Linked DNA regions of Oryctolagus cuniculus. The protein of the gene in region 2 interacts with the protein of the main gene of each other region in a pairwise test. Links are inferred from orthologs where the notes say so. Each region holds a gene or a part of one and is shown on either strand. Other genes may lie near its edges.

What was found.
Region 1: the proteins of MEOX2 (region 2) and SPRY1 interact in binary tests that used the Homo sapiens proteins (3 or more experiments, as listed by UniProt). The two-hybrid records come from large-scale screens. The link is inferred for Oryctolagus cuniculus from reciprocal best matches to the Homo sapiens genes MEOX2 and SPRY1.
Region 3: the proteins of MEOX2 (region 2) and PGBD1 interact in binary tests that used the Homo sapiens proteins (3 or more experiments, as listed by UniProt). The two-hybrid records come from large-scale screens. The link is inferred for Oryctolagus cuniculus from reciprocal best matches to the Homo sapiens genes MEOX2 and PGBD1.

The regions. Positions count from the first base shown.
Region 1 is NC_091439.1:41,315,344-41,319,094, reverse strand, and holds the start of SPRY1 (protein sprouty homolog 1), read left to right. Parts: upstream 1-1,270; 5' UTR 1,271-1,401; intron 1,402-1,502; exon of another isoform or gene 1,503-1,820; 5' UTR 1,821-2,090; intron 2,091-3,751. UniProt on the Homo sapiens protein: Inhibits fibroblast growth factor (FGF)-induced retinal lens fiber differentiation, probably by inhibiting FGF-mediated phosphorylation of ERK1/2. Inhibits TGFB-induced epithelial-to-mesenchymal transition in lens epithelial cells.
Region 2 is NC_091447.1:7,213,686-7,216,677, forward strand, and holds the end of MEOX2 (homeobox protein MOX-2), read right to left. Parts: intron 1,911-2,992; coding exon 1,686-1,910; 3' UTR 510-1,685; downstream 1-509. UniProt on the Homo sapiens protein: Mesodermal transcription factor that plays a key role in somitogenesis and somitogenesis and limb muscle differentiation. Required during limb development for normal appendicular muscle formation and for the normal regulation of myogenic genes.
Region 3 is NC_091436.1:153,741,261-153,745,011, reverse strand, and holds the start of PGBD1 (piggyBac transposable element-derived protein 1), read right to left. Parts: upstream 2,326-3,751; 5' UTR 2,096-2,325; exon of another isoform or gene 1-2,095.

The DNA.
Region 1 (3,751 bases), on a different chromosome or scaffold from region 2:
ATGTTACTTGGGCTCGCCGCTGACACGCCGACCGTGCGCCGGCCTGTCAATCACGGGCAGCAGCAACAGGCGGCACATGGCAGCGGGCTGCGGGCGGCGGGCGAGAGCTGGCCAGCGGCCCGCCCCGCTCCCTCGGCCCGGCGGAGCGGGCGGCCCAGGGCCTGGGGAGAAAGGAAATTCATGAGTTTCTCTCTCTGAACCCTGTAGCGGGGATCCCGGCCGTGGACGCGCAGGGTCGGAGGACCGGGACTGAGCGCTCTCCGGGAGAGGCTGCCCGCGGACACACTGTGCCCCCCACTTGCCCGGCGTGCGGCACCGAGAAAGCGCCTCGGCCTGTGCGGGGGACAAGGGACGACGCCGGTCTCTGTTTTCTCTCTGAGAAGGACCCCCAAACTTCGCTCCTCCACAGCCCCCTCCCCAAAGCGGCAGACAACCCCCCTACTACCCCCCACCCGGCAGCGGCAGCCTCGCGGGCGCGTGCCCTCCGGGGTCCGGCCGGGGCCTGCCGCGGCTCCGCGACCCGCCCGCCCGACGCCTGTGCGAGCCCTGTCCCGGGCGCCGTGAAGTCTCGAACGCCCGTGACGTGGATTTTCACTCGTCAGGAGGCCGCCGCCCCTCCGTCCCTCCCCGCGAGGAGCGATTGGCACCCGAGAAGTACACTCTGGTCCGAGCACACCGTGCCAGTCAGCTGGCCCGTCACGCACTCTTCTCTCCGCCGCGCCCCTGCTCGCTTTTCTGAGACTCGGAGAGGCCTCCCGAAGGGACTCTGACTAGCTAGCTCTTGCCAGTCGGGCTGCAGAGGAACGGCCCCGAGGTGGATGGGACTGGAGCCGTGAGAGGTCTGCGCGCCCGGCCGAAGGCGAGCGGCCGCAGAACTGCTGTCCGCAGCCGGAAGGGGGCCGCGGGGAGCGCTCCTGCCCGGCTGCGGCGGGGGCGAGGGAGGCCGCGCGGGCCCACTCCTTGCAGCCTGGGCGATGCCTGCTCGTCCTGCGCGCCGCGGTTGATGCGGCGCGTGCACGACGCCGCCCGCACCGAGACCAGGGCCGGCTCGCTCGGCTTGGCTGCCCTCCAGCGCTTCGGCCTAGGTGAGTGCGCGGCGGCGGCCGCCCGCGGGCAGGCAGGCGGGCGGGCGGGCGGCGCGCGGGCGGGGCTTGCTCGGCGCGGCAGGTGCGGGGCTCCCGGACCGGAGGGGCAGGGCCGGGGAGGGCCGAGGCCGCGCGTCGCAGGCTCCGCCCGCCGCCCCTCGCGTCCTGGGGGCTGCGGCTCAGGGCGGTGGGGGCGGGGGAGCTCGGGGGTGGGCAGCCGGGGTGTGTGGGGGGGCGACCTTGCGCGGCCCAGGACAACGACGAGGCAGGGTCTTCCGGTGCTTAGTTGCTTGGAGCGGGTGTTGCCGTGGCCCAGGTTGTGGTCTCCACGCGAAAGATGGATTCGGGGGGCTTTCGTGGGGGTGTTTCCCTGGGTGGGGGGCAGGAGTGTCCTGGCTTGTGCCACCAGCGGGCTTTCTGCGGTGGAGTCCGCGCTCGGACGTGGGGTCGGGAAAGACCGTGTGCGCGCGCTCGTGGAGGGCGGTGAAGCCCCCCACCCCGGGACAGAACCCGCGTGCGCCGCGGAGCTTGTTTGGGGAGCGGCGGCGAGGCGAGGGGAGAGGGCACTGCCACTTTAACAGTGGGGAAGTCCGCCCTCCTGAGGTAATGGTAACCTCAGCCTCCTCCCGCCTCCTGCCGGAGCTAGAGGGAGAGAGAGAGAGAAAACTTGTTTTCATTCATAACTTTTTCCTTTTCCTTCCTCTGCGTCCACTATTTATTCCCCGCTCCTCTCAGCGCGGATTGCAGAGGGCGCAGCTCCACCGTCGTAACCGGGCAATGTGGCGGCGACGCTCCGCTGCGGCCCCTGCCCCGGCGCGCTCGGCCCCAGCGCTCCGCGACTGCGGCGTGTCCTTTAAAGTGTAGACGGACGCTCGCCTAGACGCCGGCCGCCGCGGGCTCGCTCGGAAGGCTCGGCGCGATTGGCCGGAACCCTCGGTGTCCTGCGCAGAGAGTGTGCTGGAGACCCCCGGGGACGCGGAGGATGTGACGGGATTGCCCGCACAGGTATGCCGCTTCGCCTCGCGGCTCCGGGGGCGCGTGTGCGCGCGCGGGCAGGGGCCGGGGGGCTTCCCCTTCGGGTGCCAGGCGGTAGATTTTGTTGGGGTTTTGTGCGTTTGGGAGAGTCGGGGTGGGATCTGGGCGACTTAGTCTCCCCGCCAGCGTGGACTTGGTTCCGGCCATCAGAATGAAAGTTGCGCGTGGTGGGGATGATAGGGCCCCTTTGCAGGACTCTTGGCACATTGAGAGCCCCCTCCCCGCCCCCCGTGCTCGCAAAGCTCTGGGCTGAGAAGTGGCGGTACTGGGCTGGAGGGAGGATTCGGAGCCTCCAGCAGCCCCCGGGGACCTCGGGACGGAAGGCGGCAGGCCGGGACCGTGCCGCTGGGCGCGCGCGGGGCGAGCGGCGTGAAGGCGCGGGACGCCGGCAGGGTACCGCACCGAGCGCGGGGCAGGGTCTCGGGGCGCCGGTGGCTGCCGGGAGTGCCCCGTGTTCTGCTCTGCTCCTTAAGCCGGCACGGAGTGTTTTGGCGCAGAGTCCTAGTGGAGAATGGGCAGGGTGTGTGTGTGTGTGTGTGTGTGTGTGTTTTCTTTTCATTCTTCCCGTTGGGTTGAATCTGTAGACTTGGAAGGTGTTTGTGTGAAAAATATTTTAGTTTGCCATTGATGAGAAGGGAAACGTTTTTATGCTTGGTAGGTTTTTTTTTTTTTAAATGAAGAATACATCATAAATTAGTAATCTACGACTTTTATGGAAACATAGATGTTTGTTTTTATCAGGATGTTAGAGTACTTATTTTATTACAAGAGGCGCATTGATTCAGAGCTGGCAGTACTTTTGAAAATCAAGGCCCCGTCCTCTAAATGAGGATTTTTAAATTAGAGGAAATACAGATAATTAAGATAGCCAGGATTTCCTCACACTGCTTGAAAGGCCTAACGCTTATTTGTGCATAAAAATTATCTTGTTATGTGAGTGAGCCCTTATTTAAGCTTTTAAAAAAGGCATTTCATGATTTCCAGTAGGAACGCTCAGAACATTCACAGAAATGTGCATTGGGTTTTGTGTATGTATTGTAGTGGCTGTAAAACACCAGGACCTCTTGCGTTCCTCGTGTGCTCATTTCTGTGTCTCATTGAGGAAAAGTGAGCATCAGAATCCCAATTTCTACTGAAAATGACTTGAGATTCCATTTTAGTTTTGCATCTCTTGAGGTTTTTTGCAAATGCCTGCATTAATTTCCTCCTCATCAAGCCAGTGCTTGTAGTAGCACACAAATAACAAAAAGGCAACAGCACCAAAGCCATTCTTGATTTTTTTAGAAGAATGGATCTCTTCTTTTACGCAAAAACACTGATGAACTGACAGTGAACTTTGTTCAGATGACAGCTAGTCCAGTGCTTATAGTCAGGGTTCCATATGAAGGCAAGCTCCATTTTAATTATGAGATTTGCAAACAGGAAGGCATTACTTCCTCTTGATTCCACTTTTAAAAACTTGGAAAAACTTCTAGTTTTTATGGCATGGACTCTTGCTTACATTCTTATTCTATGATGTGGTCCATAGCCTCTCTTGGAATTGGACTCTGGCCAGGACCCCAGCATCATTGTAATCCGCTGATGAAGGCGATCATAACCAGGTGGTTTAGGCAATTTGTGACTTGACAGGA
Region 2 (2,992 bases):
AACCATGCATGACACAAAATGTTTTAAGTTAATATAATAATTGACTTCTGATACCTGTGGTGTCCATTCCAATGAAGATTCTGATTTGCTATTTAGCTCATAGTAACATCAAGGACTCTGGATAGTGTGACTTTAGAGCAACTACTGCATCGATTCACATATGTTAAACATACATTTTAAAATATATGACTACTTTACTTATTCATTGTGGTGAATAATGTTACCTTTTCCCTTACTTTTATCTTTGATTTGTAAAGCATGCAAAGACATTCATTTGCCATATTCTTCAAATTAAGAAAATGGTTTACAGTATGATGATGTTTAGATTCTCTTTGATCACCCAAGGATTGATTTTTTTTTTCTTGCCATAATAAATCTACAAATGAAAACCTGTGATTCATTAATGATCTGGATGTGAATTAGCACAAGAGCAGATGAGTCTGGGGCTCTCTTAGATATGAATATTAAAATCTGTAGAAATTAAGGAAATCACAATGGGTAGACCAAAATTATTTACAAAGGATCATTTATTAAACATTTTTTACAAAATACAAAGATGGTTGTTCTGCAAGAATACATCACATATTAAAAATAACGTGTTTTTACTGAATTTAATTTGAAGATATTCAGAATTGTTTTGTCTATCTCCTTGGGGAGCCCATTTGGCTTTGCTCCTTTTCTGACACCATTGCTAAGAAGGAAGAAACATTTTCTTGTTAATTAAGTCATATTCATAACAGCTAAAATTTTACAGAAATAAAATCAGACAGTGTCTGCCTCAAAAAAGCTCTTTCCACAAAGTAACTGATTTGCCTATGGTCCTATTTTTTTTTTCAAGCTACAAGATAGGAAAAATCGAGGAGGAGCTAGGTAAGTTGTATAATAATGTATTAGCAGCAGTTGATAGTAAATGCAACATAAGATTTGTTTTGTCTGTGGTACAAGAATATGTCGTATCAGACTCTACTGTATTTTTCTCTACTTGTACACAAGTAAGCACATACGGACTGTCTCGGAATGACAAATGCATAAAAAGGCAGGAAGCTGGCCTGGTTGGCATTATCAGTGCCTATTTTCATCAGCTAATATGAATGTATTGCTAAAATTAGTGAAGACAGGAAAATGACTTAAGGATAATATATACAGAGTTAAAATACATCCTTTTTAAAAATCCACTTGAGTGATCTCAGGCACTTTGGCTGTTCAGGATAAAAGGTTTTATGTTTTATTCTTGATAGCAATTTCTCAGTGCAAGCAAAAGCAAATACCTGCCCACAGTCATAAACATGAACTCGTACATCTGGAATGTTTAAAGCAAGTTCATCTTCAATGTCTTCACTCTGGAGGCATCTTGTGTAGAAATGTGTCATAATTTGCTCTTGGTAGCCATTTAATTTTTCAGTGCAAGCAAAAGCAAACATACCTGCTCACTGTCATACACACAACCAAATATCTCTGGAATATTCGAAGCAAATTCACCTTCTGATCTTCATCATGGAAGCATCTTGGATAATTGGCACTTAGTGTAAACCCTCTATAAATCATGCAAAACAGAAACACGATGCCTGAATTTAATAATATTAAAAATCACGGCCATGGCCATCTCTCTGTGTAAACGCTGTTGGGTAAGGCTTGCCATCACGACGCTTCTTTCCTGAGAATGGAGCTGGTCCTGTCTGTGTGGATCATAAGTGTGCATGCTCTGAGCTGTGGTCGCTGTCGTGGCTGTCTTCGTTGGCCAGAGAGTCCCCTGTTTGCTGGAGTGTGGCCGCACCGATCCCCGACAGCTCTGAAGGGAGCAGGGTTCCTTTCTTCACGTTCACCAGTTCCTTTTCTCGGGCGGCAGCGCCCTGCTGGCCCCCTTTTACCCTCTTCCACTTCATCCGCCTGTTCTGGAACCACACTTTGACCTTGGACAAAGAAAGAGAACACACAAAGCAAAACAGAACATTAAATTCGAGTGCTTTCTCCTTTTGGCCTACCTAGGAGGAACAGATTCTCAAAGGCTTACACGAAGACACCATGTAGGAGGCGTAAATACAAAAATAAATCCATCCTGAGTTAAATCAGGTTGGTATTCATGATGATAATTTATAAACATTCAGAAGATGCATGCAGATGGTTACCCTTCATATTTTACAACAAAGGGAATTCATTGTAGTATTACCTCCCAGTTTTTTTTTTCCTTGGGGATTTAAAATTAAAAATCACAACAATAAAAAGTAGACAAGAAAGGACTTATCATTCAAGATGTCTCCAAGGTATTTGGCTCTGCTCTTGTACTGGTGCCCTGATAAGCATGGGAAGGGACATACCTGGTTATGTAGCCAGGAGCTTCATCAATGGGTTGAATGTTATGTGCACATTCATCTTAACACACTAATGTGAAAAACTGTTTTCCAAGGTTTTATCAGCTTAGTTTCCCTATTCATTCCAGGGCATAAAAGTTCAAGTAACCCACATCTATGCCAGCATTTGGATTTACCAGGTTCGACTTTTTTTTCCAACACGATGACAATAAATGTTATCTCTATGTGCTTTTATTTTGTCTTTCCTGTTTTCTAATGAAGTGAAGCAACTTTTAAGAGTTTAGGATCCAGAGCTGGTGTTGTGGCTCAGTGGGTTAGACTGCTGCCTGCGACACCACCGTGTCCCATGTTGGAACACTAGGAGTCCTGGCTGCTCTGTGTCCAATTCACTCCCTGCTTCTGCACCTGGAAAGTGCTGGCATTTGAGGAGTGAACCAGTGTATGGAAGGCCTCTCTCTCTCTCTTTCTCATAGAAAAATGAATTTTGTTTTTAAAAAAGCTAATAGCCCATTATTCTATTCTATGAAATACCTCCATGTCTCTGGTCTGAATTCTTTTTAAAATTAATCTTACTCTTTATGGACTTTTAAAATATGTCTGAGTTCTAATTTAATACATTCAGTTGTATGGAAGCTACTATCTTCTCTCAGTTTCTACCCCCCTTTTCTTAGAATATTTGTTAA
Region 3 (3,751 bases), on a different chromosome or scaffold from region 2:
AATAAATAAATGTTTTAAAAATATAAAAATTAAGTTTATTTTGCTGCAAAAATTTTACCTATGCACAGTTTTTTCATAATATGCATTTGCATTCTTTTTGAAAACCTTGTATATGAGTGACTCCCAAGTGAGACCAGCAGTACAATTGACCACTCAGCCTACAGATCCTGAGAAACTGTTTTAAGTCACTAAATTTAGGGTTTCCTTTAAGATAACTGAAACAGTACACACGCGTCAAGTTCCTTTTTTCTCTCTCCTTGCTTTCTCCTTTTGTGATCTCTATCACAATGTCAATATCTATCTCTTCCAAAACCACCCAAATCTCTGTCTGGTTCTAACTGACCTTTTACTTCCCTGACCTACAACTTGAAATGCCAGCAGGATACCTCCAGCTATAGGATTCTCCTGCACTATAATTTCAATAGATCCCAAACTGAAATCCCCTCAAGGCTGTATTTCACCATGTATTTGTCCATTTCTATTCATATCACTGCCATCTTCCATGCATTTAGGATTAAAATCAGTCAAGTCTTTCTACAGAACGCCTCTTGCAGCTGTTCTTTCCTTTTATCCTACTATCAGTTTAATTAACTAGGACTAATAATTTTCTGTGTGATAGACCTGCTTGAGTCCCTTCTCTATATGGTCACAGGATTAGCAGTTTCTCAATGCACAATTCTGACAACATTCAACACACCTCCTGTGACACTATGAAATATTTACTTGGTATTTGTCCTCAAATCCGTGAAATCTTGGAAGTGAGGATGTCTCTTTGTATGCTTAGGATCAACTGACAGCTGGAAGCTCCTGAGTAGCTTCAGGATGGGGGTGGTCAGCAGACAGACTGAGGCAACATTAGTGTGCTAGGACTTCCAGCTCCAGCCTCAGGGGAGTGGAGACGGGCTGAAGGTTGAGTTGACGGCCAACAGCCAATGACTTAATCTCTGTAATGAAGGCTCCTCAACCCACAAGGAGAGGATTTGGGGACCTGCTGGACAGCAGAACATGTGGAGAGTGGTGTGGATGCCCCATGCCCCTTCTCGCATACTTTGCCCTGTGCAACTCTTCATCCACATCACTGGGAAAACCCTTTGCAATATACCAGTAAACACTGTATGCTTTCCTGAGTTCTGTGAGCCACCCTAGGAAATGAACCAAATCCAAAGAGAGGGTAATGGAAACACGGTTTACAGCCAGTCCGTCAGAAGCACAAGAAAAACCACCTGGTGCTTATGGTTGACATAAGGAAGTGGGGCGCAGTCCTCTGGGACTGAGCCCTCAACCCGTGGGATGTCACTCTCTCCAGGTAGAACATGTCACATGCGACTTGAATTAGAGGACACACACTCAGCTGGTGTCTGCCGCAGAACTCACTGCTTGATTACCTGTCAGTGCAAACGTCAAGCAGGAAGGCTTCCATGTTGACTGCTGTCGCATGACTGCAAGGTTTGCTTTTCCTACCAACCTTCTCAAAGAACGTCTGAATACTTCTCCTTGGATGAAATTCAATCCCCCAGGTTCAATTTATCTCAACTTTTCGAGTGCCTCATTATTTTCAGACATACAGCTAAGTCCTCATTTAAATTCACCTCTACCTTCACGAAAGTCACTGCCATGCTGGCTACTCAACAAGTCTCCATCTTCTGTCCTTTACACCACCACTGTGCTTCCAATGGTAAACTCCCAACGCCCAGGGCAAATGCCAACTAAGTACAGACCGGGAAAACTATTCTGTCTCTAGGCCACGCAGGTGGAGGTGGGGTGTACCATACAAACCTGAAGCCACGCCCCTCTCTCCATTTCACTTCACCCCGACATGCTCCTAAACACAGGAGCTTATATACTCCAAGAGCCCGGCACGTACCTGGTAGTCAACAAACACTGCTGGACTTCTTGACGAAGGCACGCAGATGTACCCGAGATGCCAGTAGCCAGGGCACCCTCGGGCGGAGGGGGCGGGCTGTATCTAAGATTGCACCCCTGCACCTCGCATAGCGCCTGGCACACGGTAGACACTCAATAAGCGTGTGTGTTTCACTGCTGGTTAAAAGACCATTAAAGTTTAGGAACTGTACACAACAAAGATGTAGCCGACCTCGCGAAAGGCTCGTTCCCACCGGAACGCGGAGGCCTGGGAGGTGCCGGCCAGTCTCCCCAGAGGCCGGGCCGCGGCGTCTCGCTGGGCGGGTGAGTCTCCCCGGGGCTCCCTGCGACGAGGACAAGGGCCGAGAGCGCGTCTCACACCCAGAGCTAAGAGTCAACGGTCTCCGGTCTCCCGGTGCCGGCGCTCAACGCGCAGCTTCCGGCGGCTCGCGCCTCTCTAGGAGCGCGGCCGCTCCTCTCTGTGGTGCGTCGGGCGGAGCGCCGCCCCACGCCCGCCCGCGCGGGCCTCGGGCCAACGCGCGATGCCCGGGGCACCTGCACGGCCCGAGCGCGTCACACGTTTACGGAGGGGCTTTCAGTTAAAACGCGACAGAATAGCAAACACAAAGACGAATCTCACTCTTCGGGAGTCTTCACAGAAATGGAAGATCAACCAATAGTTCAGGTCAGCAAACTGTACAGATTATTTTATGCAGATTATATATGTAAAGAATCAATTTGTGCAAAGATGGTAAAATCAAAAGTGCCTCATTCCCCAGAGCTAACTACTGTCAATGTTTTGTGTATAGCATTTAATAAACCTCTTGTTTGGTGAAAAAGTACTCGTGTATATGTATTTTAAAACGCTTAACGGGATCACAATTTAATTTTGCAGCCCACACAACTTATTCTTTTTTTTTTTTTTTTAACATTTATTTATTTGAAAGGCAGAGTTAACACAGAGAGATGAGAGACGGATCTTCCATCTACTGGTTCACTCCCCAGATGGCCGCTATGGCCAAGACTGGGCCAGACCAGGAACCAGGAACCAGGAGCTTCACCTGGGTCTCCCTAAGCACTTGGGTCATCCTCTGCTGCTTTCCCAGGCGCATTAGCAGGGATCTGGATTGGAAGTGGAGTAGCCGGGACTCGAACCAGTGACGACACTGGATCCCGGCAGAGCAAGCTGCAGCTTTTACCTGCTGCCCCACAGCGCCAGCCCCCACAACTTATTCTTTAACAGCTAAATAGTATTCCACTCTATGGGTGTACCTTAACTTATTTAATATCCCTGTTGATGTACAAGCTATTCTGTAGGCATCAGCATTCCATGTGTACATTCTTTTGTGAATTCATTTCTAGGATAAACAATTGCACCAGTGCACCTGTTCAAAGGGCGTGTGCATTTGAAATTTTGGTATACAGGGGCAGGTGTTTAGCACAGCAGTTAAGATGCCCACATTCCACATCGGAAAATCTGGGTTTGAGCCTTGGCTTCTTTTCTGATTCCAGGTTCCTACTGATACGCACTTGGGAGGCAGCAGAACTAGGGTACCTGCTACCCACATGAGAGACTCAGAGTTCTAAATTTCTGCTTTCAATCTGCCCCAGCTCTGGCTGTTGCAGGCATGTTGTAGAATGAACCAGCAGATGGAAGCTCTTTCTCTGCCTGTCTCTTACTGTCTCTCAAACTAAAATTAAAATTTAAAAATAAAATTTAAAAATACAATTCCCTATTAAATTTTCAAGGACACTGCTCTTTAAGAATAAAAGGAGACTCTAGTGGAAAAATTAGCAGAGGTGAACATGCCTTGTCATAGAGTCAGAATTATAAATGACCAATTAACATGTAAAAAGATACTCAATTCAGTAATAAAAATATAAAACA